Linked DNA regions of Mus musculus: region 2 is reported to be linked to region 1. The links are microRNA targets in miRTarBase. Many come from high-throughput screens and were not tested one by one. Region 1 holds a microRNA gene; the other region holds the end of a gene's coding sequence.
Evidence for each region. Region 1 holds the annotated microRNA mmu-miR-710 (CCAAGUCUUGGGGAGAGUUGAG, at 9,430-9,451, opposite strand). A microRNA usually pairs through its seed, bases 2 to 8, with sites in the 3' UTR of a target mRNA and lowers its output. Matches are read on the target gene's strand: a 7mer-m8 pairs with bases 2 to 8, a 7mer-A1 pairs with bases 2 to 7 and ends in A, and an 8mer does both.

Region 2: miRTarBase lists Slc35d2 as a target of mmu-miR-710. Seed matches in the 3' UTR shown: 7mer-A1 at 10,681-10,687.

The regions. Positions count from the first base shown.
Region 1 is chr8:64,504,972-64,520,893 of GRCm38, forward strand. It overlaps Mir710 (microRNA 710), which reads right to left and starts at 9,470; the gene lies at 9,361-9,470.
Region 2 is chr13:64,085,991-64,101,912 of GRCm38, forward strand. Slc35d2 (solute carrier family 35, member D2) reads right to left here. Exons shown (of 12, transcript NM_001001321.3): 10 at 13,280-13,358; 11 at 12,325-12,407; 12 at 10,320-11,694. The coding sequence ends at 11,592. Hsd17b3 (hydroxysteroid (17-beta) dehydrogenase 3) reads right to left here and starts at 3,211. Exons shown (of 11, transcript NM_008291.3): 1 at 2,997-3,211; 2 at 1,181-1,227. The coding sequence starts at 3,138.

The DNA of each region.
Region 1 (15,922 bases):
GACTGATGACAAAAAACTGTTAGAGATCCTTGGGGTGAAGCCATTATCTAATCACAAGTATTTAATTGTTATATTTATAGGCTACTACTGAAAGAATATTTTCAAAAACTAAAGTTGTAAGTGGAAAAGGGGCAACACAGTCAAGTGTGATGGTTATCAGTGACTTAAAAAGTTCTAGAAGATTGCTCAGTCCCCATGTAAAAATAATCGTTAATGAAGATGTTCTCCAGTGATAAATGACACTCACAGATGCCAAGAGTTCTATTTTTATCCAACTCATTTTGTTTCATGATCTAAAGTTTTGGTCCATGTTGTCATAGTTCTACAAGATTAATGTAAATATTATTATTAAAGTAACAATTTAAAAAATAATAGAAGTATTAATATTAAACACTAGATATAACAAGATGAGTACAAGTGTCAAATAAGTTAACAAATATTATAATATACTAGAAACACCCAGTAATGTCTATTGTCCAAACTGTAAGTTCCTCAGTGCCTCTGACTATGGTGTCATCTGGTTGAAGCAAATTTTAAGGTCACAAAGACATTTGTAGAGTCCAAAAGGTAATTTTTCCACCTGTTCTCCCTGATCCAGGAAGCCGCATACTTTCATTCCTGGAAGAGCTAAGGAAGAGATCACATGTCTCCCTTAAGAACTCATTTCAATGCTCGCTAGTTTTACTCTATACTTGCTCAAAGATATAGATCCTTCTTTTTCTTTTTTTTTAAAGATGTATTTATCTAATATATGTAAGTACACTGTAGCTGTGTTCAGACACTCCAGAAGAGGGAGTCAGATCTTGTTATGGATGGTTGTGAGCCACCATGTGGTTTCTTGGACTTGAACTCAGGACTATCCAAAGAGCAGTCGGTGCTGTTAACCACTGAGCCATCCATCCAGCCCCTGCATCCTTCTTTTTCATGGGCAAATGTTCTGCTCCCTGAAGAACCTGGAGAATGTTCCCCTCCTTCCACTCCCTCTGCCTGAGTAAGCTCATAGAGGCCAACAAACTACACAGAACAATCCTACTCATCCGCAACCTGCAACTCTCAGCGCTCTCGTAAGTACTGCAAAGTGCTCCTTCCTGTGTGTATCTAGTAAGCCTCTCACACCTAATGCTGTCATATACTGGGCAGTGGTCATATACTTGGGAGGCAGAGGCAGGCAGATCTCTGAGTTTGAGACCAGCCTGGTCTACAGAGTGAGATCCAGGACAGCCAGGGCTACACAGAGAAACCCTGTCTTGAACAAAACAAAAACAAAAACAAAACAAAACAAAACAAAAAAGTATATTACAGTCAGAGATGAACTGCATGCATCTTATAAGCTTGTAATGTACATATATTGTGTAAATTATTGTAGGCTTAGATGTTTTAAACCCTACATTTAATAAGGGTTCTCAAACACTTCAACCCCCTTCTAGCCCACGGTCTAAAGCTAAGGGAGAAAAGACCGTAAATAGAAAAAAGGGATACAGACCTGTTTAGATGTAGTTCTTTTAGGTGATTTCAGTCTCCATTTGTAAGGATTACAGCAGTCCAGTTCAGTACTGTGAGGACACCAAACATGAATCTGAGAATCAGCAGTGGAGGCAAGATTCAGCAGCAACAAACAGGCCTTTATAGGAGCAACCAGAATCAGCTGCTCCACCAGGAGAAGTTCTCTGCCTTGCCTCTCTTAAGAAGTAAAGATCAGCAAAGACATGAGACCCCCCAAAGAGTTGTAAAGGTAGCTATGCAAGCATGCTGTCATTGTCCCTTGAGACCTGTTTATACTCTCTCCAAACATGATGTGTCCTCCCACAGCCTTGCCTCAACAAAATGCCACGTGAGTCTGCATCACCTGACATGTCCAGAAACTTCCATTTCGAATTGCCATGTGCTGCTTGAGCTTGCTGAAAATCTAGCTTCAGACCTAAGCATGTTTGTCCCAAACTATCTTTGAATGCCACTTGTCTACAGATGGGCTACCTACCCCTCAATCTGTTACAGGGAGGAAAGAGAACAGAAAAGCTGCTAATGGTATTAACAACATTATGTCCTTAAGAATAGCTATCGTGCAAACGATCTCTAACAGAGGCTGCTCATGTTGTGAAAGAGGGGAGGATAGTGGCAAATTCATCCATAGGAAACTCATCTTCCAAGGCGAAGCTCAAGTGAGAGCTCCAGCTGACTGCCTCGACTTCTCCAGTTTTTGCTGGATGTTGCGAGTACCAGACCCGATTGTACCTATCTGGTGTTATTTGTTATTTTGCTTGAAAGCCTCACCTGAGGCCACACTCTGTTCTGATCAGGATGTAGTCTCATTCAGGAAATCCAGGTGACAGTAATTCAGGATAGCCTGGGCTACTTCTGCTGGATCTTTGTAAGCCCCTAGTTTGAAGATGTTCCCCCTTTGTTTGCTCGCTCAATTGAGCAACTTCAATCATCTCTGCAAGAGAGTGTGAACATGGGATTCGAAGATGTTTTGCTATCTGCTGCCTCTCTCTACCTACCATTATGTATTCTTTTACTTGCTATTAACTAAATAGATTCACACATATTTAACTGTTACCTTATTGCTTGGTTTTGCCCACGAAACAAGTTGGTTGTAAAACAGAATGCCGCCACATTATGCTAGAATAGCCTTTGCACCTCGTGCTTATTGTATTGCTGGTGCACAGTGGTTTCCCTTGAGCTTTAGTCAGCTTCCTGTTGAACTGGTTGTTCCATTCATTCTGCTACTAGAAAGAGCTGGCTACCATATATGTATATAAGAGGGTAACCGTGTATGCTAGGAACAACTGGTATACCCCACAACCCATGCGTGTAGGACGGTAATCAAGTATGTTTGTGTATGTGCTCGCCATGCTGTTCATGTGATGAAATTCCCTATTTATGCGCTTTTAAAAACAAATCTCTGCCACTGAGCAGCAGGCCAGTGCAACTTTGTTTGCTCTCTTCTTGTAGGAAACCACAGTACTACTTTCCACCCAGTACTTGGACCACAAAGCATATAGATTCCATGTTTGTCTTCATATTTGCTCATCCCCACACCCGAGTCATTCCAAATCTTTCTGGCTTACATCAGTCTTTGCTGATTTTGATTATCAACCATACTATATAATACACTCTCCAGGGAACAGTGAGAATATGTTTTCCTAAACAGGAAAGACTTGGAGCTTGCCACTTTCCATTTTCAATACTTTAATTAAACTTCTTTGAATAAGAAAATATAAGCTCGCCGGACAGTGGTGGCACACACCTTTAATCCCAGCACTTAAGAGGCAGAGGTAGGTGGATCTCTGAGTTTGAGGCCAGCCTGGTCTACAGAGTGAGTTCCAGGACAGCCAGGGCTACACAGAGAAACCCTCTCTCAAAAACAAAAACAAAAACAAAAAAAGCTCTTTTTACCTGTCTTCACAGCTAAACTGACATCACTAACTGCCATTTTTTCTCTTTCAAGTTTTTTCCTTTTGTTCTCAGCTCTGCTCTGTGACCTTTGACCCACTGTCAAAGGTAATAATCCTCCAATCTTAGCCACTGTCATGATCCTCCCTGTCCACCTTTTGCATGTTCACTTCTATCATTAGTTTGAAGTTCATGATCATTCATTATAATATATCCATGTATATATCTCCAAATCTTCTGGGCTTTTCATGACATTATTATATGATTTTTGGACTACAGATATATCGAGCCAGACTTGTAGCTCTCAAGGTGGGCATGCAGACCACTGTATCTCAGGCTTACACCATAGGTTGGACACTCCTAGAATGTGTGCATATTGGAGGCAGTTGTTTGAACACCACAGGAGTCTAGTTGCTTACCAGAAGCCCTCTGCATTTCTTTGGACCATCCCTCCTTTACTCTTCTAAGCTATCCCAGCTTCATCTTGTTTTTAGAAAACAGAATAGATCAGATAAGACATCATAAACTTATACACCTCCCCCCCAAGCTGTGTGAATCTGTTGATCCTGTTCCCTCTACTACATAACTTCAAACCAACTGCCATTGTCTTCCCAAAACCCAAATACTCCATGTAGTACTCTTATCTCTTATTTCCTCCCATCCACTTGAAAGCTTTGCTGCTTTGCTCCATGGTCCTTCCCATTTACTTCTTACATGAACCTTTTCCTATACCATATCAGTGTGTTATTTCTCTTATTAAACTAAGAACTTTGCTTGAGTCCATATACATCTCTACCTTGCTCCATTTCTCATCTTTCTTCTACTACAAAATGCTATTTTCTCTTTCATTCTTTGAGCCCACCTCTCAATGGTGCACACAGTTATAAGAAGCAATGCTAGAGGAGGGATAATAGTAAAGTGTACTTGATGTTCTTGCCAAAGACCCTGGTACAGTTCCCAGCACCCACATTACGCTGCTCATAACCATTTTTAATTCCAGTTCTGTGAGACCTGATGCCTTCTTCTGGCTTTCACCATACAAGGCATACAGCTGATACACACATATGTGTGTGAAGGAATCCATGCACACATACAAATTTTAATTCAAAAATTTAAATAACAAAAAATAATTTTCAACTCCTAGAATTTATTTTTTTTAACTTAGCTTCAAGCAGGGATTGAGACTATTTTTCATTCCTTTCTCATTCACATTTTATTTACTTAATGTCTGGCAAACTGATTTTGCCTGACTTTCCTCTTATCTCCCTGGCCACTCTTTCTGACTCCCTATTATTATCGGCCCTCTTTTCTTCAACATATTAATGTTGATGTATGCTGAGGCTGAGGTTTCTCTTTCTATGCTCACTCCTTTGATGATCTCATCCGACATCCTGGTTTTATACATCATCTGTAGGGCTGGCAATTTGCAAATTTATATCCCTAGCTGGGACATTTCTGTTGAACTCCAGATCCATACACCCAAACACCTACTCCATAACTTCACTTATGAATGTCTAACAGGCAATTAAGACTAATATCCTAAACCTAAGTGCTTCATCTTCCCTCTCAGCCCATCTGCCCTATTTTTGTGCATATGGACTCCATCTTCTGCCTGCATTGAAATCTCTCTTCCTATTAAAATACCCACCCATCTGTCAGGACACCAAGCTGCTGCTGGGCCCCTACCAACTAGACTTTCTATTTCTCTGCCAACAACAGCACCTTCTGTGTAGATTATTGAAACAGTCTCCTAACAGGACTTCATAGCCTTAATGGGTGTCCCTTTAGAGTCTCTCTCAGTGTATCAGCCTAAGTGGCCTTGCTAAAATACAAGAAATCCTAACACAGCATTCTAATTGCAACCCATTTCAGTAACAGGAAAGCCAAGTCCGACAGATTATCTGCAAGGCTTTAGAATAGTGGTTCTGAACCTCCTAAGGCTGCTATTCTTTAATACACTTCCTCATGTTGTGGTGACCACTCAACCATAAAATTATTTCCATTACTACTTCATAACTGTAATTTTGCTATTATTACGAATTGTGATGTAAATATCTGTTTTCTGATGGTCTTCGGCAACCCCTGTGAAAGGGTTCTTGCATGCCTAAAGGATCATGACCTACAGGTTGAGAACAGCTGCTTTAGAATATCTGTTTCCCTCTTTGTTCTTATATCCTGCTACATCAGACATCCTCGCTCACTTACGTGTAGCCAGTGAGTCTTAGGATTGCCAAGACACATGAAGAGTGTCCTTACTATAAGACTTTTGTTCTTGCATTACCCCTTTCTATTTTAACATTAAGTTGGCTTAGACCTTTATTTTCTCCAGGATTTTCTTAAATATCACTATCTAAAATAAAAAATCTTCCTACAGCCAATGTTATCTAGTCCTCTTCTTTCTGCACTTTTGTTCTATGTATCACTTACCAACTTTGGTCACTTCTGAATGAACTTTTATGAATTTTTCCTGTGTGTGTGTCTGTGTGTGTGTGTCTGTGTGTGTGTGTGTGTGTGTCTGTGTGTGTGTGTCTGTGTGTGTGTTTCTCTATTCTAAATGCAGGAAGAGTAGGTCTCTCTTGACTCCCTAGTCAATTTCCTCTCTGTAAATTAAATATACATTCTAAAGAATAATTTATTATTAATAACTGTTACCATTATTATTGCTGAAGAGAATATCTCATGAAATTTAAGTTACTTGCCTAAGTTTATTCAGCCAACAAGAGTCTGACTCACAATTTAAATCTAGAATATCAAAGCTTATATAGAGAGTCTCGTTTGTAAGGTATACTGTCCTAAAAACATGTTGTTAGATACTTAAATTGTAATGTACTAATTGCTTACTAGATGTTATATTTGAGACCCTTGTATCATGTTCTATGATCTCTCTGCTTTGACTCATAATAAATATATTTTTGTAATTATAGTCCAGAAATATCATCTACCTACTTATTAATGTTAAATATTTAGTTAACTTAGCAACCCTGTTACCCTTCCTACTCTATTTATTAACCTTATAATTACATTGGAGAAATTTAGACTGACATTTGTCTTTCACAATCAACAAAGATCAGATAGGCACAGATTTGCACTTTGTACAAAATTAATGTAATTCACACATTCATAAACGTATCCAGACTTTATCTGAGTAATCGTTAAAGATATTTAAAGATGTAGTCCAAAATATCCCAAAGCCCTAGGCTCCCTTCACCCACCACTAGATTGATGGTATTGATTTCTGCTCCTCATCAAGGATTCACTAGTGCAGAATCTTGATGACATCCCATCTGCAAACCACCTTGGAGCGGACCAGGGTTAATGCACTCCCCTCTGGTCAGATCTTTTCCTTTCCTGCTTTATGCTCGGCACTGATTCCCTGACGTTTGGCTAGCCCTGTATATCCTGGAATACAGCTGCCCAGACAAATACCTTCCATCTCCTAGAAAACGAAAACTTTGAAATAATGGGAATTCCTGTGGTCTGGAATAAATAACCATTTGCTAGGTGCTGCATTCCCCCCACTGAAATATATGCCTATGTGCTGAGTTTTGAGAGAAAAACACCCTCCTAATTCTTTGTTTAAATGCTGAAGAAATCTCAGTCTGCTATTGTTTTCTCTCTTTGATTTTAATGTTGAGCTCTACACATGCTAAATGTAAATATCTCCATGTAAAGTAAAATACTGTGACACTTTAATGTTAGTTTATCAAGTAACAGAAAGTATAGGGACTACATTAGGACTCTTATGACAGAGTCCTCTTATAGTTGAAAGGAAAAAGAGTTACAGCTCAGAAAATAGAAATGGGAAGATCAAGACATAAATCTGTTCTTCCTCCTGGAGGGGACAGTAAGCATATATAAAAAGAAGAAAAAAACCCCAACATAGTTAACAATAAGTGCTACCTAATAAGTGTAATAATAGTGATATCTAAGGATTGGAGTGCTTTGAGATACCAGTATCTTACTGCTTATACCAGTATCTTATACCAGTTTTTAATGAAGTTAGATATCATGTAGCCTTGAATCTCAACAAGCAAGCCATCATAAAAGCGAATATTTCTATTTCAGACACACTCCTAGAGACACTTTATACCAAGACCCGCCGATTCACTAGTCCCTCTGAAGACTGTCTGAGATTCGCATCCTGGCTAGCTCTGTGCAACCTGCTTTGCAGCCATAACATATGGCTACCTCATCCACAGTGTTCTCATCCATACCCTCAGCTGCTTATCAGACTCCATCTCTGTCACTTAAGAGCTAGGTTGAAGGTTGAAACTTCCCCTAAAGTCCACAAGAATCATTCACCTGATGTAACTGTAATTTAGAAGGTTTACTACTGAAAAAGCTCACTCCTTCCTAGTTCTTTCTAAGCTCTGACTGGCTGGTTCAACCCAGCTGTTCTGGCTCAAACTCCTCTCCAAGCTGACTGATTCAATCTGGCTTCTCTTGGCTTCTCACTGAATTGCTCTTCTTGGTCTTAAACTGACTCTGGCAATTTGTTCTAATCTTCTGACTCTTTCATATTTTCTGACTTCAACGGCCTCTGCTGATCTGCTCTGAGCTGCATGAGCTCACAAAGGAACTCAACTCCAGTGCACTGCACTCACTGCACTGACTCTCAACTGACTGACCAAACTGTCTGAACTCTAACTCTTCTCTCTCTCTCTCTCTCTCTCTCTCTCTCTCTCTCTCTAATTCTTCTCTCTCTCTCTCTCTCTCTCTCTCTCTCTCTCTCTCTCTCTCTCTGTGTGTGTGTGTGTGTGTGTGTGTGTGTGTGTGTGTGTGTGTGTCTCATGCGCGCACACTGATCTTAAATAGCTTTTCTCCTGACAGTTGGGCGTATCCTATCTCGGACTCATTTTGTCAAATCTTTCTGGGATTCCTCACTTTGTCTGCCCCTCAAATTGGACATCATTATTTGGGATTAAAGATATGTACTAAAGGATTCCAGCCAAAAGGAATAAAGATGTATACTAAGAGTGTGTCTGTATTCTAGCCAGATCACACAGACCTAAAAGTTCTTTTGATGTGGTAAGAGCAGCCATGTTGCTGGATTAAAATTCCTTGACCCTCTTCTACAGAGTCCTCACTGCTTTTCCTTACAGCAGGCAAATCAGGATCTGTAAACCCAAGAACGATGTCTTCCATCTGCACACTGATTTTACCATAAACAGGGCTTGGAAGGGATGGAATCCCGTGTTCTAGTCTCCTTTTCTTTAATCTACTCTTACAGATATATTTTCTCTACACAGTTATAAAAACCTATGAAGCAGTTCTTCCAGGACTGGATTATAATAGCTTAAAAGGAGAAAATAAACTCAGCAAGCCCCTCATGGAAGAAGAAAATAAATAGTCTTACTTTAGAATTCTATTTTGCATGTCAAACGCGTAAGGAGTTTGCATTCTTCCTCTTTGTTTCACTAACATAATAAATCTTAATTTTCTTCAAATGACTCAGAAGAAAAATAGGACAAAGCTTGCTTATATGATAACATAATAAAAGTTAATCACATTAGTAATTTTCAAAATTATCTCAAACGTGAATATAATAAAGTAAAAGAAATGACCTAATAAATGGCTTAAATAAATACATCTCTTACCTATAATAAAAGTTTTTGGGAGTGGTGTATATATCACTTATATTTATATATAATTTTCATAAAATGCAATGAAAACTGAAGGGAAGGCATATTCTAGTTTTCCCAGAGTTACTTAAATTTCAAAAATCAACTTTTCATGTTGACTTTCATGTCCCATATTCAACATTTCTTTTTCCTTTTTAATAATAGCTTGAATCTAAAATTTCTTTCCAATTGTTCCTTGGCTCTTTCTTACCACATTATACCCACTTAAAAGTTTCTGTTCCATTTCTTAGAAAATATTATATTAATGGAGGGAATCCAGGCTCTGAGAGCCTAAGGTCCATGTTTTTTCTTACATGTGGATCCTACCTTTTATTTTTAGGAACTACTCCATCCACTCCACTTCAGATACCTAAGTTCTAAAGAGTTGAAGGGGTATGTCAGTTTTCACACCAAGCTCAACTCTCCCCAAGACTTGGCTTCTATTTGACGAGAGAGATAAGGAGTGGTTAGAGTACTTTGTATTTCTCCATACGTAGAGCATATTAGTGCTTCAAATTCTAAAAACTTAATCTGGATCAGTGACACCAAGGGAATTAACTCAAACAGTTTATGGAGGTTACACAAGCCAGATTGGTCCCTGTGGAACATTGGGAAAGACTTCAACCATCTCCGATGCTATTTGCCCAGCTCCTATCAGCTCCTTGCTCTCACTGAAGTTGTCTAAAAGCAATTGGCTGTAAAAAAGAAAAGATCCTATATAAATACCCATGTTATTTTTTCTATTTCCTTCTTCCAAGTACATTGGAAAGGACAGGATTTCACACAGGAAACACTTAATGATAATATTTGGAAGAAACCTGCTGACTTCGTAAGATGCAGTTGGCCAAAATTCAGCTCAGAAATACCCAGGGAAGTAAAAGCCTACTAGAGTTACCAAAATGAGGTTTCTGCAAGTAAGGAAGTTGCCCATAAAGGGCAGGGCACAGTATCACTTACAAAGGGAAAAAAGAAAACATTTGCAAAACGGCGAGCAGCCCATGGTAGGGGGCACAGGTGTGCCACAAAGCAACTAAGGTATCACTCTACAACCAGTGTGGTCAATCAAGATTCTTGGGTCAGATGGTGGTGAGAAAGGGAGTCAGAAAAAAAGAGAGGAAGAAATGAAAGAAAGGGGAAGATGAAGATGAAGGACCACAGGGAATGACCATGTAGAAGGGAATTCAGCAAAATAGAATAGACACCTCACAGTCATGGTGATTCCCTGAAATGCAAACTGATGGGATTCTAGTGGAAATGCTTACCAAAGGCCTTGCAGAATGTTCTTCCAGGAGTCATTTGCATTATTGATAATTGTAAAGTGCTGCGCTGAGAGGATGAAGTCCTTACTTCTTTGGTTTCATAAGGGCACAAGTACTAAGGAAGATTTGTATTTCTTGCTTCCTAAAGAAATATGAAAGAAATGAGTTTTTTTGTTTTGTTTTGTTTTGTTTTGTTTCTGCTTGTTAAACTCACCAGAGAACAAATTCCAACTAGGCAACAGCGCAGGTTGGATATTTAGACTATTAATATTAACCTTTGTCGGTGATGGTAGTTTGGTTAGGTTCCAGATTCCTTAAGACTGTTTTTTCACCACATAGCCCAGGCTTGCCTTGAATTCATTATGTAACACAGACAGAAGATATCATATTCTTATAGGTTAATAAAAAATAACTTAAATGGCATCCTAAAATCACATCTAACCTGGTAGAGAAATGACATTTCCATATGGAAAAGTTGTGAGATTTTATAAAAGCTACATCCTGATGGTAAGTGGAGAGCCCCTTATTTTCCCAACCCTACTGATAGCGAATACAAGGCTCAGAACTAAATATGGGAGCATCAAGATACTTCCTCATGGGTCCCACGAGCCAAGGAAGAGAAGGAACATGAAACAATGCTGGTAATTCATCAAAACCTATAAAGATGTGCCCACGATGGTCTAGGAGCAGAGAGCTGGAATTTTACTTCTGGAAGTTTCAGAGTGACTATAGAAGGACATATGCCTTCACTTCAACTAAGAGCAGGAGAAATGCAGGTCCAATGTAGGAGTATCAGCAACGTATGTGTGGGATGTGGATTCCCAGTGACCCTGGCTGGCCCCGCAAACCTGTAGCTAGCAGCGTCTGAAACTGGCCCAAGGCCCAGGCTTACAGCTGACAGGTGTGTATCCAGAAAGGAAGGCCAGCTCGATGTGAGATTTCACACGCTTCACTCCTAAAACCCTTTTCCTAATGTAGATCTCAGATGTGCAAGTCACTGCCTGAACTAACTCCTTGCCAGGAGAATTAATTATGTTGGTAAGTGCTCATCACATAGCCAGGAAGTGACTGCAAAAGGCTTCTGAAAGTCAAAAGGAATTCTCTGTAGTCCTTTTTGAACCACTACATGGCATTACATTCAAAAGTTTTACTAGTAGTTTACAAAACACAAAAATTTGTGTTTTGCTAAATAGACCTTAGACCTATTCTATTTTGTCATAATAGGCACTGAGTGAATTAGGCCAACTACATAAAGCAAGAATGTTCCTGTGTCCTTTTGGAGGATGAATCAAGAACCTTAACCACACACTTTGGCTAATATGAATGAACCCAAACTAAGGGACTGGGGTCCAGCTCACTGATACAACACTTGCTTAACATATTCAGAACTCAAGGTCCAATCTCTATTTTATTCTTCTAGGTATATACTCAACACACACACACACACACACACACACACATACTCACATATATAAAATCATAATACATGTATTATCATTATGTTTGAATGTAGTGTGTGCCATCAAGAACTACATGAAGGCAGTTGTGTAGGCTTAGTGTTTGGCAGAGACACTGACGTACTATTCATCAGGAAGTAACCGTCACTGGCTTCTATTCAGGGAGTAAAAACGGAAGGGATATTGTTTTTCACAGAGTTCCATCAGTATCAGTCACACACTGTGAAATGTCATCCAATCATTTCCTGCCTGATAATGCTTGCTAATACATATTCCCTTGACAGGGCTGAGATATTCATCATTTTAGAGGGAGAACAGAACCCAGAACCAAAAGAGAACTGTATCTTTAGAGTTACAGAACACGCCCTGGCTTTCACTAGGAAGACCCAGGATTTGAAGAAGTTGTGTAGCCTAAAAGGCCATGGTGGAAAATTAGAATATAAAGATTGTGAGAGATAACTGTAATACACACAAGAAAACTGAATAAGACAAACTACCTCTTGCCACCCTGTGAGAAGGAGGAAGAATGGTTTTTGGATTTAGAATTGCTACTATGGATGAAGTAAAACAGGTTAAAATCTTAGCACAAGATCCATTCCCTTCTCCAGTTAAAATTCAAAGGCTAGAGATGCATAGCTAGGTCTGTGACTCTCATACCAGAAAATTTTAAACTACCCTGTACTGTCTACCAAATTGAGGGATAGGCACAGAGAAGAGAAGGTAGAACTACGTCATTATTCCTCTGTTTGGGTTTTACTTTCCACAGAAATCAGTGTTTTGTAACTCTAAAGATATGGATATCCTCACCATCATGGTCACTGTCACAACCACCACCACCACCACCATCATCACCATCATCATCTTGCTCTATTTTTTCTCCCTCCACCCCGATAAAACACACCTTCTGTCTTCATGTTTCCATCTAAAGGTATTTACCCTAAAGCAACATGACTGTTCTCTCTCCACCTCTTCCTCCTTCTTCTCCGTTGGAAGAAATGTGGCTTATTTGGCTCCTGAATTGGCAAATAGGACAACACTCTGTACTTGTGGCTTTTCTCCAGAAACTCTGCCTTGACAGCAACTTAAGAGATTCTATGGCAATGCCAGGTAGGAGCTATACAGTTACACATGGGTACTCTCCCCATATTAAGAGCCAGAAGCAAACCCATCATTTTGTGATGGTAATTAGCACTTTGTTTACATTGGATCATTTAAACTTTGACAGCGAGGTCTCTTAAGGGTCTTTATGTTCAGAAACAGACTGGTTTTGTGAATTTAAGTATACTCTTACTTGTAGAAGAGGGCTATTGGATTACACTAACTAATTGAATGACTACTCATAACACTATATTTAATGACAAATCGAATGGTATCTAATAAAAGCCTGGAGTTGAATGCACAGTGGTGAAGTCCATATAAAATGAGAGAACAAGCAGTTTTTAATTCTAACATTCTTACCACAGCCATAACAGTCTTTCATGTACCCTTCCAAAAACCTATGTAATACACAGTTACTCAATTTTATTTGGTCAGAAGTAGTCATTGTCTACAAATTATCATCTGACAAATAAGGGAAAGTATTTTAAAATTTTTAAAATTTGCATTTATGTATGGTCAAGCTTCAGAGACACAAAATACTATAAATTATAAATGCCTTAAAAGTCATTTTCGACTTGTATGACCAAAACTTCAAATCTTTTTAAAAAGAAATTGAAGAAGATACCAGATGATGGAAAAATCTCCCACACTCATGGATCAGTAGGATTAACATAGGAATAGAGGTATATATCCAAAGGATGCTTCATCCTACCACAAGGATGCCTGCCCCACTATGTTCATAGCAGTTTCATTCATAATAACCAGAAACTGTAAACAACCTAGATGTCCCTCAACTGAAAGATGGATAAAGAAAATGTGGCACATGTACCTAATGAAGTATTACTCAACTGCTAATATATATATATATATATATATATATATATATATATATATATATATGACACCAAGATATTTGCCAGCAAATGAGATAACCCAGACCCAAACATGGTATACACCTACTTATAAATGAATGTACCTGTTAATTAGAGGATAACCACACTACAACACACAGACCCAGAGAGACAGCACTTAAGAAAGAGGATATACCATATTTCAGTTTAGGAAAATCTTACCACACTGAGCTCATTAGAACTGTGCTTTCAATGAGTCAAAGGTTTAAGCATATCTGGCCAGCACACAGCTCATTGTGAAAATGTCTAGGTATTATGTGGAAGATGTGTAATTTGAGCTACAGCATTCTTTAAAAGAGGTATTTTATAAAATTAATGGGAATGTCTAACCCACTTCCTATGTTTTTCCCAGCAGAAATATCTAGGAACCTGGGTTCCTGGGATGATGCATATCCTCGCATCCCTGCTGACAGTGAGAAGACTAAAAGTGTCTCCAGCAAACTCTAAAGGTTCAGGACTGACCACACCTTCCAAATATGACTGTGGAATCTATGTGAAGATAATATAAAGTGAGCCCCCACATAGAAGACATGAAGACTGAGGACTCAATTTAATTCCTTAAGGTAAAAGCAAGATCCAATCTCTTCATAGCTACAGCTCAACTCACACAGGATGTACAAGTGTAAGGAACACATCTGGGATTAATAATTAATTAATTAATTAATTAGAGCTCCTTATAAGCAATAAATTTTTATGTAGTCCATTAAATATCCCAAACAACATTAACTTACTGTTGAAACATATATGAGAGTGCTATGCTCAGCCTTTTATAATAAAACAAAGATACAATAATAAATCAATTGACTCTGTATATTAAAGTGTTCAACTAAATACCACATTAACTTCTTTACTGTTGTAGTAAATATATTTACATACATTTATATTTATATATATATATTATATTTTTAATAAATATATATTACTCAGTGTGTGTGTGTGTGTGTGTGTGTGTGCTATCTTCATCTTCACACCTCCCTTCTTGCAGTATTATTTTTTCCAGAACCAGTTTTTGAACCATACTGTCTCAATTCAGATCTGGATTCTGCCACTCAGCTGTGTCTCCATTTCTCAACCTAGTTTCCCTACCTACCCCTCAAGATGACTCATACAAGCTGATGATTATAAAGAGCTTTAGAGTGCTCCTGGGACACAGTGAGTGTGCAGCACATTCAAGTGGTTGTCATAGCCTGCAGCATCAGCACCAGCACTGTATTGCTCTGCACCCACTTCCTTTGCTATCCTCTCAAATACATGCTCTCAAGAGACCATTTCTGCTGGCCTTGTTTGCAGTATAGGAACTGCAGGTGGAGCAATGCCGCTGGTTTTTCTCATCACCTCCTCACTCCTCCCCATGGAAATAAGAATGGTGTATTTCATTGGCAAGTCTGATAAAAAGAACCTCTGTCCTCGTGCAGAGGTCTAACTTATCCTTCTGTTCACTTCTGCTTTGAAAACCATTAACAATACCAGTTAGTGGATGAAATGTTAGTAAAATGGTTTTAAATAAAAACTCAAGTGCTATTCTTCAGGCACTGTTACCAGTAAGACCATTTCCAAGACCAAGTGACTGCTGTGTCTAGTTCCACGTTGGATCTGGAGTCTACAGGGGAGGAGTGATGTGACACATTGACCTTCTGTGACCTCAGCACTAACCTGCACTCTAATGCTTTTCTTTCTTCTACCTGCTCAACTTTTTCAACAAATGTGTTTCTCAGCCAACAATATGTCTGCAAACCATATCCAAGACTGATCTGTTCAACACTTCAAACACTGTACAGAGATGAGTTCATATATTTTTCCTGATTTTGAGCCTCCTCATTCCAAGACTTAATGACTTTCCCATTCACTTTGTTCCCCAAGCCAAAGACCTGAACTTTCCATACCTCACTTCAAATCTCACATGTTCAATTCTCCTCTCTAGACCTTATATTCTTCTTGTGGTCCCATTGACCTGTCTATGCCCTTATTTTAGATTCTCTTTGTCTCTCATATAAAAAAACCTCCTACGACTTCACCCCACCACCACCACCAATATTTTCCCTCCCTTCTCTTCCACAACTTCTACTAGAGTGATCCTAGACCAAAAACACAATCCACCAGTCAGTCATGTCACCTCCCCCTTGGATAAAGTCTGAATTGGTCAAAAGGAAAACTTCAATTTGTAACTGTTGCCTAGTCTCCCA
Region 2 (15,922 bases), not on the chromosome of region 1:
TCCGTTGTTTAGGAGACTGGCTCCTCTCACTGAGGTTTTACAGTATTCTTTATCAAGACTTACACACTTTTTTTTCTGTGTACACACATGTGGTGTGTGTGAGAGTGTTTAAATGCTCATGGGCTCACATGTATGTGCAGGCTAGCCTAGCACGCATGTGGCTGCTTGTGCGTGTGGAGACCTGAAGTTTCCTTTTTAATCATTCTCCAATTAACTGACTTTGGCAACAACTCTCGCTGAACCCAGACCTCATTAATTGTCTAGTCTAGTTAATCAGTTTGCCGGGGGAAATCCCCTGTCTCAGCCTCCCCAGTGTTTTTGAAACAACGGCTATACTTGATACATCTAATCTACAGAAATAAATTTTGAATTAGTATGTTTCCTACTAGTATAGGATAAATAAAAGGGATTTATTTTCTTACTTATTTTGAGACAAGGTCTTATTATGTAGCCCTGGCTTTTTTGGAACTCACTATGTAGACCAGACTGGCCTTGAACTCACAGAGATCCTCCTGCCTCTGCCTCCCAAGTACTGGGATTAAAGGCGTGCGCCACCACATTGGTGGCTCACAATCACCTGTAACACCAGCTCAAAGGGATCTGATGCCCTCTTCTGGGTATGTAAGTGGCATACACATATAAACACACAAACATGAACACCTATAAAATAAACCTTTTTTTAAGTGTCTAAGGGATGGGATTATGATCTTTTTCAGTCTACTCTCATACTAAAGGTATTTTACTTTTTCATCTATTTTTTAAAGATTTATTTATTTATTATTATATGTAAGTACACCGTAGCTGTCTTCAGATGCACCAGAAGAGGGCGTCAGACCTCATCACAGGTGGTTGTGAGCCACCATGTGGTTGCTGGGATTTGAACTCAGGACCTTCGGAAGAGCAGTCAGTGCTCTTACCCGCTGAGCCACCTCTCCAGCCCCGGTATTTTACTTTTTAAATGAATGTCTATAATCTTTGTACACAGGAAAGTGTTGGGTAGGGTGGATGCTTATCACAAGGGAGGGATCGTTGCCTGGAGGGTAGCTTCAAAGCTAGGCTGGTGGAACTCACCTGTAGTCTCAGCTACCTAGAAAGCTACCTAGATCCATTTGAGGTCAGCCTGTGAGACATGGCAAGAACCGGTCTCCAAAATCCATACCACAAAAAGGAGCCACCTCACCTCAAATGAATAGGCTTTCCCGATGCCATCGCCTGCTCCGGTAATCACTGAAAGAAACAGTGGCAGCCTTGAAACAAGAGGACACATCTTCAAGCCTCTCTCTCGCAGTCTCTTGTATATCTCTGTCTAGAATGCTCAATACCACAAAGCCACGTTGCTCCACTCCAAGGTTTCCAGCCTTTGGTAACCTGGTTAGAACACTGCAAGTGAAGGGTGAAGGGCTTTTCTGTTTTGTCTTTGGGGTGTGTGTGTGTGTGTAGGTGGGGGTGTGTGTGCGCGCTTTTGGAGGGATCTGTGAGTCTAGAAAACACACTATGAAATGTAGCCAAGCACTAAGCCAACAAGTATTTTATCCAGGCTTGGGGCAGTACAACCTTAGCAACTCAAGGGCAAGCATGTACACTGTCATTGCTTCATTCCTGCCCATTGCTCACCCTAAGAACACCTCAGGGTTCCTTCTGAGAAGTGCAATCTGGCCCCTCCCCTCCTTCACCCCATAGGTCCGTGGCCCTCAATGCCTTGGAAGATAGGGAACCTGGCAAAGAGGATACAGGAATGTGTATGGGGGATGCAGGGACCTGAGGACCTTGGATAGTTAGCCCCCAATACCACTATCTACTAGTACCCAACAATTTCATAGGCTTTCAAGCCCTTCGTTTCCAAAATTGGAGACAGACGACCACAATTACAAGTTTCACAAGTCACCACAAATATACCTACCTGCAGCTGACCTTGGCACCAAGCATTAAAGGGCACACATTTTTTTTTAGACACAGTTTTTAAAATGTTCATTAAAACCCACTATTTTTATTTAAAAATAACAAAAAGATTCACGTTTATTGAGCATAGATATCAGTATACTTTTTCTCTGGGTATCTTCCAGCCTTGTTCCCAGAGTTTCCTGTTCTCTATGTGAAATCTGTTCCCTCCCTGGTTTGTCTGTTCCTGACGACATCGCATATTTCCTCATGGTTATCTTATTCATTCCTAACTCTCAAACAAGCTAACATTGTACCTCTCACTTTGAAGCCACAGAGTTTCTGGCTGCATCTTAACTGCTCTTTGGGGAGTGTTCTTAGAAGGGCTACGTGGGCAGCAGCTATGCAGAGTTCTAGCTGCACAGATACTCGGGCATTTCATGGGCGGCAGCTGTGCAGGGTTCTAGCTGCACAGATACTCGGGCATTTGACTGTGCCTGGTAGGGTATTCAGATCCAGAATACACAAGCTCAGTGGCTTAGTAAGTAATAAAAGCAGCAAACACACGTGTGTACATACCATATATTCATACACACGTATGTACACGTGTGCATACGCAGTGGAAGTGTAAGAAGCATCCGTTAGAAATCCATGGGTCCATCCTAAACAATTCTCATATGGTCATTAAAAAAAAAAAAATCCATGAGAAAGTTTACAAAGTTGCCAAGTTTAGTGAATAGAGGCACAGAATGCATTTTTAAAAAAATAAATTAACATTTGGATTAAAAAATTTTTTGAAACTCCCTTTAATAAAATGTAAGCACACCAGCCAAGAGTTTAGAAATCTGGAAATCTATAGGTGAGAACTCGGTACCTCTGCCTGGTTTATTATTGGTATTATTAGAAAGACTCCAAAAAGAAGTAAATCTAGCAAAGCAACAGACACGAGGGAAACCTGGGGGGCAGTCCCCTTCCCCATCTCCTGATCCATACCTTGATTTTCCAGACAGTTCTAGTTCCACACATGCTGTCTAGTCACACCATTACATGTTGTGCGGAGTCACAGAGGCATTCTGAGACGTAAGAATAAGAGAATAAGACTGGGAGAATCTTCTTACCTGCCCATTGTCCCATTGATCGCAGGAAAGAGCTTGGCAAAGCCTTGCAGAACCTCAGAAAAAGGTGCTGCGAGAACCTCATGCACTTCACCAGGCAAACCAGGCCCACGAAGAGCCCTGCAGCAATGAAGAGCTTCTCCATGGCCTCCTCTGGAGCTGTCTTGCTGGAGATGCTGCTGGACCTGGTCTTTATCCCCGTGTGATTCCCAGGGCAAGTGGCCTGGGTGCCCGCCAGATCTCCTCTGAGGAGGCTCTGGGTGTGTTCCATGTATCTGGGAGCATTTAGATTAGAGGAACTTCTTTATGTAACCTTGTGATTCGCAGGCATCTGAATCAAGTATTCTTAATAATATCTTTACAGCATGGTTAGGGCTTCTGTGGCTGTGGAGGTACTGGGTAAAGAAGACAGTAGACTTGAAGACAAGTGAAACCCAGAGAGAGGAAACAGAGCACTCTGGGAGTCTCCAAAGAGACTTGGTCTTGTGACTTGATCTCCAAAGGAGGTCTCTGCATTAAAAGCCTGATCCCCTGCGTGGTGGGGATGTGGGAGGCGATGGAGCCTGTGGGAAGTCCTGCAGTCCCATGGGAAGGCAGTGTTCAGAGGAAAACACTGGCCACTTGGAAAGAGTCTTTCCTTACTAATGTCAAAAGCTACACCATAAAGTCTCACCCAGCATGACTGGCAAAACAAGGACAACATCAGTAGGCATTGCCAAAGTAAGCCTGGGATAGTCCACTAGGCCTCAACCCTACACAAGAACTATAAGCAACTAATAAGGACTCTTCCCCAGGGAAGAGCACACCAATTGATTATCTAATACCAAATGGTCAGCCCTGAAAACATACAAACAAAAAAAATTATACAAACTAAGATATATATATATATATATACACACACACACATGTATATGTATGTATGTATATATATATACATGTATATGTATGTATATATATACATGTATATGTATGTATATGGATAGATATAGATAGATAGATAGATAGATAGATAGATAGATAGATAGATAGATATTAAAGTCACCATTGCAAACACCTGAGCTTGAGCTAATCATTTTAGTAAATTGATTATGAGCTGTTAAATATTAAACTTTGTGTGATACTCCCGGACAAGAAGTAGAAAAGACATTGGAGAAACAACACAGTAGCCACCAACACTATATATGGTTATATTTAAATTTAATATAACTTAATTTAAAAATTTATCTCCTGAACTACACCAGCTATTCCTGGTACTATTCCTGATTTACATATATGTTCATGCAGGAAGCTCTACTAGACACTCAAAGTTTCCAAGCCACTTAGGCCTTCGAGGAATTTACTGTTGCCAAAACGATGACCCAATAACTCATTAACACCAAAAGTAAAGCAAAAAGGATAAACTCACTTTTAGACCATACTTTCCAGGGTTAAATACATAGCTCCGTTGGTGGAGTGTTTGCCTAGCACACACAAAAACCTATGTTTGATCATTTGCACTGCATAAACCAGGCATGGGGCACACAGCTGTAATCACAGCATTCGAGAAGTGGAAGTAGGAAGACCAGAAATTCAAGGTTATTACTGGCTACGTTGTGAATTCAAGGACAGCCTAGGCTATGTTGTGATTTAAGGACAGCCTGGGCTACTTGAGACTATCTGGGGGAAGAAAACAAAAGGAAAGAAGGAAGAAAATACTAGAACATAGCTCAGGACCTTATTGTGATCACTAATTAGTAGACCAAGTAGACGTTCTTTCTCATCTCTGGTTTAGAAGAAATCTTTTCTGCTTTTCCCCATTTGGTATAATATTCACTGCTGGGTTCTCACAGACAGGTGTCAGCGTGGGGAGGTCTGATCCTGCTGCTCCTAATTGTGGTTTTCAGCCCTGAAGGATGTTGAATTTTGTCAAAAACATTTCTTTTTTTTAATTAATTAATTTATTATTATATCTAAGTACACTGTAGCTGTCTTCAAACACACCGTAAGAGGGCATCAGATCTCATTAAGGATGGCTGTGAGCCACGATGTGGTTGCTAGGATTTGAACTCAGCAGTCAGTGCTCTTACCCGCTGAGCCATCTCTCCAGCCCATGTCAAGAGCATTTCTATGTCCGTTGAAATGATTATGCAATTTGTCTTCATTCCACTACCATGCTGTATTACATTAATTCATTTGAACCCACTGAATTATCTCAGCACCCCTGGAGTGAAACCTTCTGGCTCCTGCGGTTTTACCATCTTAATCTGTCGTTTACTGAGGATTTTTGAATATGTGTTCATCAGGGAAATTGTCTATAGCTTGTTTGTGTGACATCACCACCCAGTTTTGGCATCAGAGTGGAGCTAGCTTCTTGCCATGAGTTTAGAAGCATTCCTTCCCTCCCGATTTGGTGGGATGGTGTGCATTTAGAGATACGGTACAATTCAGCACGAAACCCAGCTAGTACTTTGATGTTCTTTGTCAGGAGACGATTACCCCTCCAGTCTCATCGCTCACTGGCATTTTTTTGGATTGCTTATATTCTCTTGGTTCAACTCTGTAGGTGAAACAGCATGTGTCTAAAGTTTTTTTTTTTCATTTTTTTCTAGGTTTTATAATTCATCAGAATATAAAATCTCAATAATCCTCTGGGTTTTAGTGATATCTGCTTAACATCCCCTTTTTGTCTAATTTTAAATTGTGAGGTCTTCCCTCTTTTTGCTTAATTTGTCTCAGGGTTGGCCAATTTTAACTTTTCAAAGAACTGTTTCACTAGTGCTCTGAATCACTCTTTTAGCCTCTGGAACAGCTGGGATTAGAGGTGTGCACGCCACACATCGCTCCTGCTTTTTGCTACAAACTTTCTGTGTCTTTTGGTATAAAATGCCCCCCCACACACTCCAGCTCCAGTTTCCAGGTGACTGCCGTACTTTATAATTGTGCTATGCTTATTGGCTTGAATCATTTCATTTCTGACTGAGACCAATTTGTTCAGACATTAAGAAACCTCTTCTTAGCTGTATTTTCTCTGGTTTCCCCTGCAAAGCTCAAGGCCTATGATTTGGCTTGTTGTTCTAAATAAAAAGAAGCACAACTTTCAAGAGTGTCCCTGAGTGTTTCTTCCAAATTGTTTCGAGCAGTGTCAGCTCCTTTGAAGAGCTCTCTGGGATTTGTCCTGGATAGTCTTACATCAACTTGACACACACTAAAGTCATCTGAGAAGAGGGAGACTCCATTAAAATGCCTTCATAAGACCAGGCTGCAGGCAGGCCTGTAAGGCATTTTCTTAATTAGTTATTGATGGGGGAGGACCCAGCCCATTGTAGATGGGGCCATCCCTAAGCTGGTGACCTTGGGTTCTTCAAGAAAGCCGATCGAGCAACCTTAGGCAGCAAGCCAGTCAGCAGCACCCCTCCATGGCATGTGCATCAGCTCCTGTCTCCAGGTTCCTGTCCTTTCTGTGTTCTTGTCCTGGCTTCCTTGATGACAGGCAGTGATGTGGAAGAGTAAGCTAAATAAACCCTTTCCTCCCCAAATGTCTTTGGTCGTGGTGTTTAATCACAGCAATGGAAACCATAACTAAGCCAGGACTCTTTTCTTTTTATGGACATTGTGTTTTCTTTCGGACATCGCAAATGTTTGAAATCACACAATTCACGTGAAGCCTGTATTAGCTACTTCTCCGGTACTGTGATAAAAATTCCCTGGCAAAAGGAAATCCAGAGACGAAAGGGTTTGTTCTGGCTTACAGTTCCAGACGGGATGCTGTGGTTCATCATGGCAGGGAAAACGTACAGGCAGGAGTGTGATACTAGCCTGGCAGTCAGGAAGCAGACTGATCACACTTTATTCACACACTGGGTGAGAACTGGAGAGAGACAGAGAACAGGAAGTGGGGCTAAGCCAGGAATCCTCAAAGCCTCTTCATTCCACTGTTCCCCGGCTGATCTCAGCAGTTCCAGCAGGTTTACTCTTAAGTAGAGAGCAAGGATTACACATAGGTAAGAAGTCCTGGTTACGTAGTGATCCTGCCCAGCCTGGACACATCATTGTCTGGGCTCTAGTCTATCCTGCAAGGTGGCCTAACTAGTGTGTGAGACCACCACTCTGCCCAGCGCTCAGAATAATGTCTCAGAGAGTTTGCCCAGGGCAAGTCGGTCCTCATCTTATATATGCGTAAAATCTCTTCCTGGGAGACAAATTCCTCTGGCTGGCTTCAGCTTTTTCCTCTCCAACATGTGATTCCCAGGGAAATTCTAATTCGCTGAGGATCACTCTTTTAATAGTCTGATAGCCAAAGGAAGGGGCCCAAGTGTCTCTGGAGCTAATGTCGAGGTCAGAGGACAGCCTTTAGTATCCAGTTTGTTCCTTCCACCATAGGTTCTGAGGAGCAAACTCAGTTCTTCAGATTTGTGGAGCAAGTATCTTTACCCAAAGCTAAGAATGTGCTTCCCAGAAGTGTCCAATAGAGGCAATTCCTCAGCTGAAGTTACTGCCACCTCATGCACTCAACACCCCACTCCCTACCGTAATTCAGAACACTGATTGGAGATTCCATTTCCTAGGTACCTTTCTAGAGTGAAAAGGGTTACTTTCCAACCAGATACAAATGCTGCTCTTAGGGTGCCCTCTGCTGGCCAAATGTGGAAGAGGAGGAAAAGTCTTAAAATCATTTCTGAAAGAATTCCAAGAATCAAACTTAGAGATAAGGAAAACAACTTTGAAAGACAGCAAAAACTGTTTTTCACTTCTCTAAGTGAGTGGTTTCTGGTCTCAGGGTTTCAGAAGAGACACTAAAGGATGTTCTAACAATAGTCTGGGAGCCCCCGATGTCATGTTCTAGAAGTCTTAAAAAGTAAAGAGTGCTGTTCAGTTGGAAGAGTGCCCAACTAACAGACATGAGTCCTAGATTTGATAGCCACATAAACCAGGGGTAGAAGCACGTAACTAGTCCCGGCACTGTGTGATGGAAGAGGAGATCATAAATTCAACCATCCTTGACCAGAGACCTTGTCTCTAAAACAAAACACTCTAAATTGTAGTAGTAACAAAAGAGGCAACATTATTAAGAAATGGAGAGTCAGGCCTGGTGGTGCATGCTTTTAATCTCGGCATTAGGAATTTTGAGGCAAACAGATCTCTGTGAGTTTGAGGCTACATAGGGAGTTTCGAGCCAGCCAGGACTAGATAGAGTCCCTCTCTGAAAGAAAGAAAGAAAGAAAGAAAGAAAGAAAGAAAGAAAGAAAGAAAGAAAGAAAGAAAGAAAGAAAGAAAGAAAGAAAGGAAGGAAGGAAGGAAGGAAGGAAGGAAGGAAGGAAGGAAGGAAGGAAGGAAGGAAGGAAGAAAGAAAGAGGGAGGGAGGGAGGGAGGGAGGGAGGGAGGGAGGGAGGGAGGGAGGGAGGGAGGGAGGGAGGGAGGGAGGAAGGAAGGAAGGAGGAAGGAAGGAAGGAAGGAAGGAAAGAGAGAGAGAGAGAGAGAGAGAGAGAGAGAGAGAGAGAGAGAGAGAGAGAGAGAAAGAAAGAAAGAGAGAAAGAAAGAGGGAGGGGGCTGGGGCTCAGTGGGTAAGAGCACTCGACTGCTCTTCCAGACTGCTCTTCCGAAGGTCCGGAGTTCAAATCCCAGCAACCACATGGTGGCTCATAACCATCCGTAACGAGATCTGACGCCCTCTTCTGGAGTGTTTGAAGACGGCTACAGTGTAGTTACATATAATAAATAAATCTTTTTTAAAAAAGAAAAGAAAAGAAAAGAAAGAAAGAAAGAAAGAAAGAAAGAAAGAAAGAAAGAAAGAAAGAAAGAAAGAAAGAAAGAAAGAAGAAAGAGATGGGGAGAGGGAGGAAGAAAGGAAGAAAGAGAGAGAAAGGAGGGAGGAAGGGAGAGGGAAGAAGGAAGGAAGGAAAGGAAAGGAAAGGAAGGAAGGAAGGAAGGAAGGAAGGAAGGAAGGAAGGAAGGAAGGAAGGAAGGAAGGTCTAAGCCAAACCTCTATAAAGATGGTTACTAATAAAAAAAATTTTTTTTAATGTATGTTGTGAAAGATGAGGAGACAGTAGCTATGGAAAAGTACAATATATCAGGTCCTCAATAAATTAGAACTACAGCTGGGTATGTTGGCATACACTTTTAATCCCAGGACACAGAAGGTAGAGGCAGGCATATCTCAGAGTTCAAGGCTAGCCTGGTCTTCACAGTGAGTTCCAGGACAGCTGGGGCTACACAGAAAAAAAAAAAAAAACCTATCTTGAAAAAAGATAAGATCAGAACTCTACTACTATGTATAAATCCCAAATAATTGAGAGCAGGATCTTCTACTTTTTGAGGCATGCTGCCCAGGCTGGCCTTGAACTCAGCACAGCTCACACTGGCCTCAACCTCCTGAGTGCTGTGATTGTGATCAGGGCTTTGGAGATGTACTTGTACTTCTATATTTACAGTGGCATCATTCACAGAAGCCTGAAGATGGAAATATCCCAAGGGTCCGTCAACAGGTGAGCAAGTAAGCAAAACAGGATTCTGAGACCATTAACATTGTCAACTTGGTTCTCAACGTTGATCTAGAGTCAACTGGGAGACAAGGCGTGCCCGTGAGGGATCATCTAGATTAAGGTAATTGAGGTGGGAAGACCCACTCTGAATATGAATGGCACCCCTCCATGGGTTATAGTACCAGACTTTGTAAAAAGGAGCGAGCAAGCCATATACCTCCATCCATCGCTCTCTGCTCCTTGACTATGGACACATGACAAGCTCAAGCTCCTGCCATCATGACTGTCTCCTCAGAGTGGACTGTTCCCTAGACCTGTAAGCCAAAACAAAGTGCTTCTCCACTAAGTTGCTTTTATCAGGGTATTTCATCATACCAACAGAGCCAGACTACACAGTGAGGCTGTCATTGGTCTGACAAGAGGGCAGTGGGAAGAGGCACTTGACCCAAGTTCAATCCCTAGAACCTACAGAAAAGTGAAAGAACTTGAAAGCTAACTCCACAAAGTTTTCTTCTTACTGCCATAGTCATGGTGCATACTCTGTCTGTCTGTCTGTCTGTCTCTCTGTGTCTGTCTGTCTCTGTCTCTTTCTGTCACACACACACACACACACACACATGTATTAAGTAGTTGGAAACATTCTTTCAGTTGCTACCACCTCTGGCTCTACTTCTAGAAACCTAGATGTTGCTGGCAGGGCTGGGGAGTTAACTCTGTAAGTACTTATCACACACATCTAACTTTCAAAATCCCTTGAACAAACCTGGAGGGAGCTGGGCAGAACAAGACAGATGAGCCATTTGTACTAGTTACTTCTCTGTTGTGATAAACAAAAACAAAAAAAACCAAAAACCATAACCAAGTCAATGTATAGAAGAGTTTATTTGGGCTTACAGTTCCAGAGAGATCAGTGTGGCAGGAACAGCTGAGAGCTCGTCAAACCACAAACAAGAAACTGAGCAAGCAAACCTGAAATGGATGGAGACTTTGAAACCTCAGAGCCCACCCCAGGGACACATTTCCTCCAGCAATGCCACCCAACCAGGGACCACACATTCAAATGTCTAAGACTACGGAGATGAACTGATGGCTTTGGGTTTTTGCAAAGTTTTTCCAACACTTGTCCTTAAAAGGCTATCTTGTTGTTCCTTCAAGATGGAGTAATGTGGGCTGGTGAGATGGCTCAGCAGTTAAGAGCAATGACTGCTCTTCTGGAGGTCCTGAGTTCAAGTCCCAGCAACCACATGGTGGCTCACAACCACCCGTAATGAGATCTAAAGACAGCTACAGTGTACTTACATATAATAAATAAATAAAATCTTTTTAAAAAAAAAGATGGAGTAATGTGTGCACACATGTATGTATGTGTGTGCATGTGTATGTGGAGACCGGAGGCTAATGATGGGTGTCTTCCTCAGTCACTCTCCATCCTATTCTTTGAGACAGTGTCTCTCACTGAACCTGATGCTTGCCATTTAAGACTGGCTGGCAAGCCAGAGTCTCAGGACATGTCTGTCTCTGCTACCCAAAGCTGAGATAATTGATATGCTCCATGCCTGACTTTTTATATGAGTGCAGAGATCAAACTCATTTGTCTCCTGAGTACAGTGAGCACTCTATACACCTCAACCCCAGGAATATTCCTGGACACTGAATAACTAACTATTTTCTATCATACTGTAATATCACACTGTGCGGCATATATAGACAGGACTTTATTTCACTGTAATGACCTGGAAAAAAAATACCAACACATTCAAAACTGAATGACTCTTACAAAGACAAAGAGATGGTTCAACAACAAAAAGTTTTCCCTTTTTCCTTGGATGAGGCCTTTAAAATTAAGGCCACAGTGCTGATAAGCAAAGTCACCCTTGAAACATCTTCCCCAGCACATAGTGAGGGCCCTGTGGATGACTTTAGCAAATTCACTTAGTTGGAAGGTTTTGTACTGTGAGTCGTGGGTTCCTCGTGGCTCATTGTGCAGTGACGTGTGAGGTAGCTTTCTTTGTATTTCGAAGACATTCCTTTTTGTGCTCTGACCAAGCAGGTGACTGCCCCATGTGTGGGACCTCTGGTCTACCCACTCCTGCTGAGGCTGCTCTTTCCAGCCTAGGCCTGCAACTCTGTCTTCAGCCTAGCTCTTCAGATCCAGAGGGATGCTTTCTTCATCCACAGGTTGTTTAGGTTTCAACTGGCTGCTGAGTGTTAAAAAGGAATATCTTAAACCACCTGCCATGCTGAAGAGAGAAGAGAAAGGGGTTAAAAAAAATCCTATGGGCACTGTTAATGTAATACAATATAACTGCAGTCAGCTTGATTTCAACACAACTATTAAGATCTCTGGGGGTTTTTTCCCTCACAGGTTGGTAGGTAGATTGAGAAATTTCTTCTCTGCAAATGTTTGGAGACAGGAAAAGAAAGCGAGTGCTCGATTTTTACTGGATAAAGTAAAGTGTAATGATTGTACAACTAACACCCAGGCCTAGAACCCAAAAGTGTGTTTAAAAACATCAGGGTGCCAACAGCATCCTTGAGACGCAGCCCTTCAAAAGGCTACAGGTAATGAGATCCACACAGTGGGAGGAAGATGTTTGAACTGAATTTAGGCCTAAGCCCTGAGATTCTTTATGACACATGTCCCCAGAGACCACGTGAAAAAAATGAAGGTCACAAATACAACAGGCCTGGAGCAGGGGATGCAGCTCAGTGGCAGAACACTTACTCGCCTGGCATGCACATGGCCCTGGTTCCATCCTGAGCGTGGCAACTAGTAAAACCATTTCTCTTTGATTTTTTTGCTTATTATATACCAAGTGATCATGTTAAATCCCTTATTTACTGTGAGTTCATTTAAAAGTCTCACTTACCAAATATTTAACCCTATAAAGTTTAAGAGGGAGAAAATGTAGTCTCCACCAACCAACATCCCAATGTAGGCAACCGATACATTCTGCAAAGAGAGGGGGCTCATCATTGAAGAGTAAGGAACTTCAGGGCAAAGGCAGACACGTGACACCTGAGGCCTGATGCTGGGTTACTTTGCATAGAGGCTTGCATGGAATACCTAATGACATATGGCTTTATAAGCAAATACATTTTATAACTAAAATGTAGTTACTGAAAACTGTACTGTTCACCCTCCCCGAGTTCCAGGCAATAGGTGGGACAGTACAGCTGTAACTTGCTTGCTTGCTGCTTCCATCTTTATATCATCACTGGCACACCAAATTCTAACCCTATCACCCCTAACCTGAATAGGGCAGGCAGCTAAGTTCTAAGTAGAACTCTATGCAAGCCATTTGAGGAAGCCACCGGGTGGAGCAAGTAAGGTTTTCTCACTCACTTTAGGAGCTTACGTGAAGAGAAAAATAGTGTGGACTAGAATTCAGACCACCACCACTCTCTGTTCAATAGTTGTGTCCTCAAATGCACACAGGCAGACACAAACTCCTTTGCACCAACCTACCAATCCAATGTCACTGCTTTATCATAGAGTGGAAGTACTAAAAACATTCCTTCAGAAGGATTTGTCTTCTTAGTGGGCAGGTCCTCCCAGCAAAACTAATTCCAGATAACGAAGTGATCACAGATATTTGATTTTTCTTTCCAGTTGTTACTTGTTTTTCCCAAATTATGCCCTCACCTGCCTCCAATTTTAAAGTAATAAAACACTTTCTTTTGGGGGTTAGCAACTTCACTCAAGATCAGCAGCAGGGTTACACAGCGCCCCCTAGAGTCACAGCCTCAGCAAAAAGTAGCTTTCAGCACATGGTTTCCATCTGGTTCCCACCCTGGTGTTAAGCGCAAGGCTCCATCTCTTACCTTGATCGCTCCAACCACCGCTGTGGTCAGAGCTGAGTTGTAATAACTGCAAAGAGCTGTGGAGTACATCAGGAGAAACCTGAGGGTAGAAGACGGAGAGCGTGAGCGCCGGCCTGCTCTGGGTAACATGAAGGTTCTAGAACCCAGATCTAGACTTTCGTCATTGGGCGTTTTACACGGGGTGGGGGGAGGTTCAGCCTGCGCATAAGCGTTTCTCATGGTGTGTCCACAAAGTGAGGGAAAGAAAAGGATTTTATTTATTTGAGGGTGGATCTCTCTACCTAGCCTTGGCTGACCTGGAACTCATGTATATAGACAAAACCGGCCTTGAATTCAGAGAGAAACACTTGCCTGTGTTTTCCAAGTGCTGGGATTATAGGCATGCATGCACCACTATGCCTGCCAAGTGTCCTTGCTTTTATAGAAATGTTACTAGTTTTGTAAATGAGGTACTAATATTTAAATGCTGAACTTGGACACTTCAGAAAAATCTGTTTCTAGGACCCCACATGGTACTGTTTGCCCTTCATCATCTCAGCACTGGACTTACAGTACTAGAAGCAGGAGGCTCGAGAGTTAAAGAGTAGCCTTGGCTGCATCAAGGCCAGCCTAGGTCACGTGAGACCACCCATGTCCCAAATACATAATGTGTGCCTTCAATTGTTATAATTTTAATGAACTCAATGAATAATGTTACTTACTTCCCTGCGTCAGTTTCTAACACTCAGCCCTATGTTCCTGTCACCAAGTGCAGCTCTGCCTGACTCTGGTGATCTGACCCACACCACCTAAGCAGGAGCTCAGAGTACACAGCGTACGCCAAGCTGCATCCTGTGGCTTCCAAACTTAAGGTCAGCCTTCCACAAGGACAAGCATGGATATTCTTTTTTATTTCTGCTGAAAAATCCCAAACCCAGGTTCCATCAGGCCACGTTGAAAAACACTTTGGCCTGCTTGCAGATTCCGTAACTGGGACCCCAAGATCTCAGTACCATCTGCCAGAAGTATGGGCAGCCAGGACAGTTACTCATCACCTGTGCTTAGCTAGAGAAGGGGATCCTGGCTAACAAACTGGAGCTGCTGGGAATGAACCCCAGTCCTGACTAACACAGGGTTTGGAGATAGAGAGGCTGCATTTCTCAATGTGCCCACTAGATGTCCTCAGAGAGGGAGAAAATAAAAATTATTTTTAAATGGGGTTAAACTTGTAAAGTGTTTGCTAGGCAAGGATGAGAACTAGTGTTTAACTTTCGAGCACATGTTTTTTGGTTTTTTGGTTTTTTTAAAAGCCAGATTGGATGGTGCATACATGTAATCCCAGGACTAGGAGATAGATGACTGAGGGTCTTTGGGATTGCTAGTTGCCCAGTCTAGCCAAATCAGAGAGCTCTTGGTTCAGTGGGAGATCGCATGTCAAAAAGCAAGGCAGAGATTGATAGGTGAGATACCTGATATTGACTTATGGCTGCAACACACATGTACACACATGGACACATACACACTAAGTTATTTTGAAAGAAGCATTTCTACATACAGATAATTACTTATTAAGGGCATTGAATAAGACCAAGATATTGATCTAAAAGAGCCCTCATGAATTCCATACGTGGTATCTTAGGGTTACTATTTCTGTGATGAAACAGCACAACCAAAGAAACTTAGGGAGGGAAGGACGACTCAGCTTAGGCCTCCACGGCACTCACCTGTTCATCATGGAGGAAGTCAGGACAGGGCAAGAACCTAGAGACAGAAGCCATGGAGGCATACTGCTTACTGGCTTGCTCCCCATGGCTTGCTCAGCCTGCTTTCTTATAGAACAACAGGCCAGGGATGGCCCCACCTGCAATAGGCTTGGCCTTCCCACATCAACCACTAATTAAGAAGATGTCCCATAGCCAGATCTTATGGAAGCATTTTCTCAGTTGAGGTTCCCTCCATTCAGATAACTTTAGCTTGTATCGAGTTGACATAAAACTATCCCCCACACATGGGAAATCTCATCACTTGGTTTCTGTTTGTATTTATTTATTTATATATTTTTGAGTTCCATGCAACACATGCCAGCACATAGTTGAGTGCAGTACCCACCTTTAGACAATAAAAACCAATTTACACATCTGCTACTGAATGTAATGGTACTGTGGCAGTCAGTCTTGTCCACATGACTAAACTTAGGATCACCATGGAAAAATTCTACTGGGCATAGCTGGGAGGGAGTTTCCAGAAAAGTTTAACTGAAGAGGGAAGACCCACCCAAACAGAAGCAGCACAATCCCACCGCCTTCCATCCCAGACGGAATGAAAAAGCAACAGTAAGCTGGGTATCAGCATTCACCTCTCTCTGCTTCACTGCGGATACAAAGTGTCAGCTGCCTCTCTCCTGCCACCTTCCCTGCCAAACGGACTGCACTCTCAGTGAGCCAAAGTGAATCCTGAAGTTGCTTTGTCACAGTGAGGGAAAAAAGCAACTAACATAAGGTTACCACGCATGTTTCATCTTGGATTCCAGGCTCATGCCCACAGTCACAGGTAGGTCACTGAAACCAGAACCTCCTCCTCGGAGGTATAGCCTTTCATGTTTCTCCCACTTCTGACCTGGAGCTGGCCATAAACTCTCTGACTGATCTCGTCTTGTAAATGACC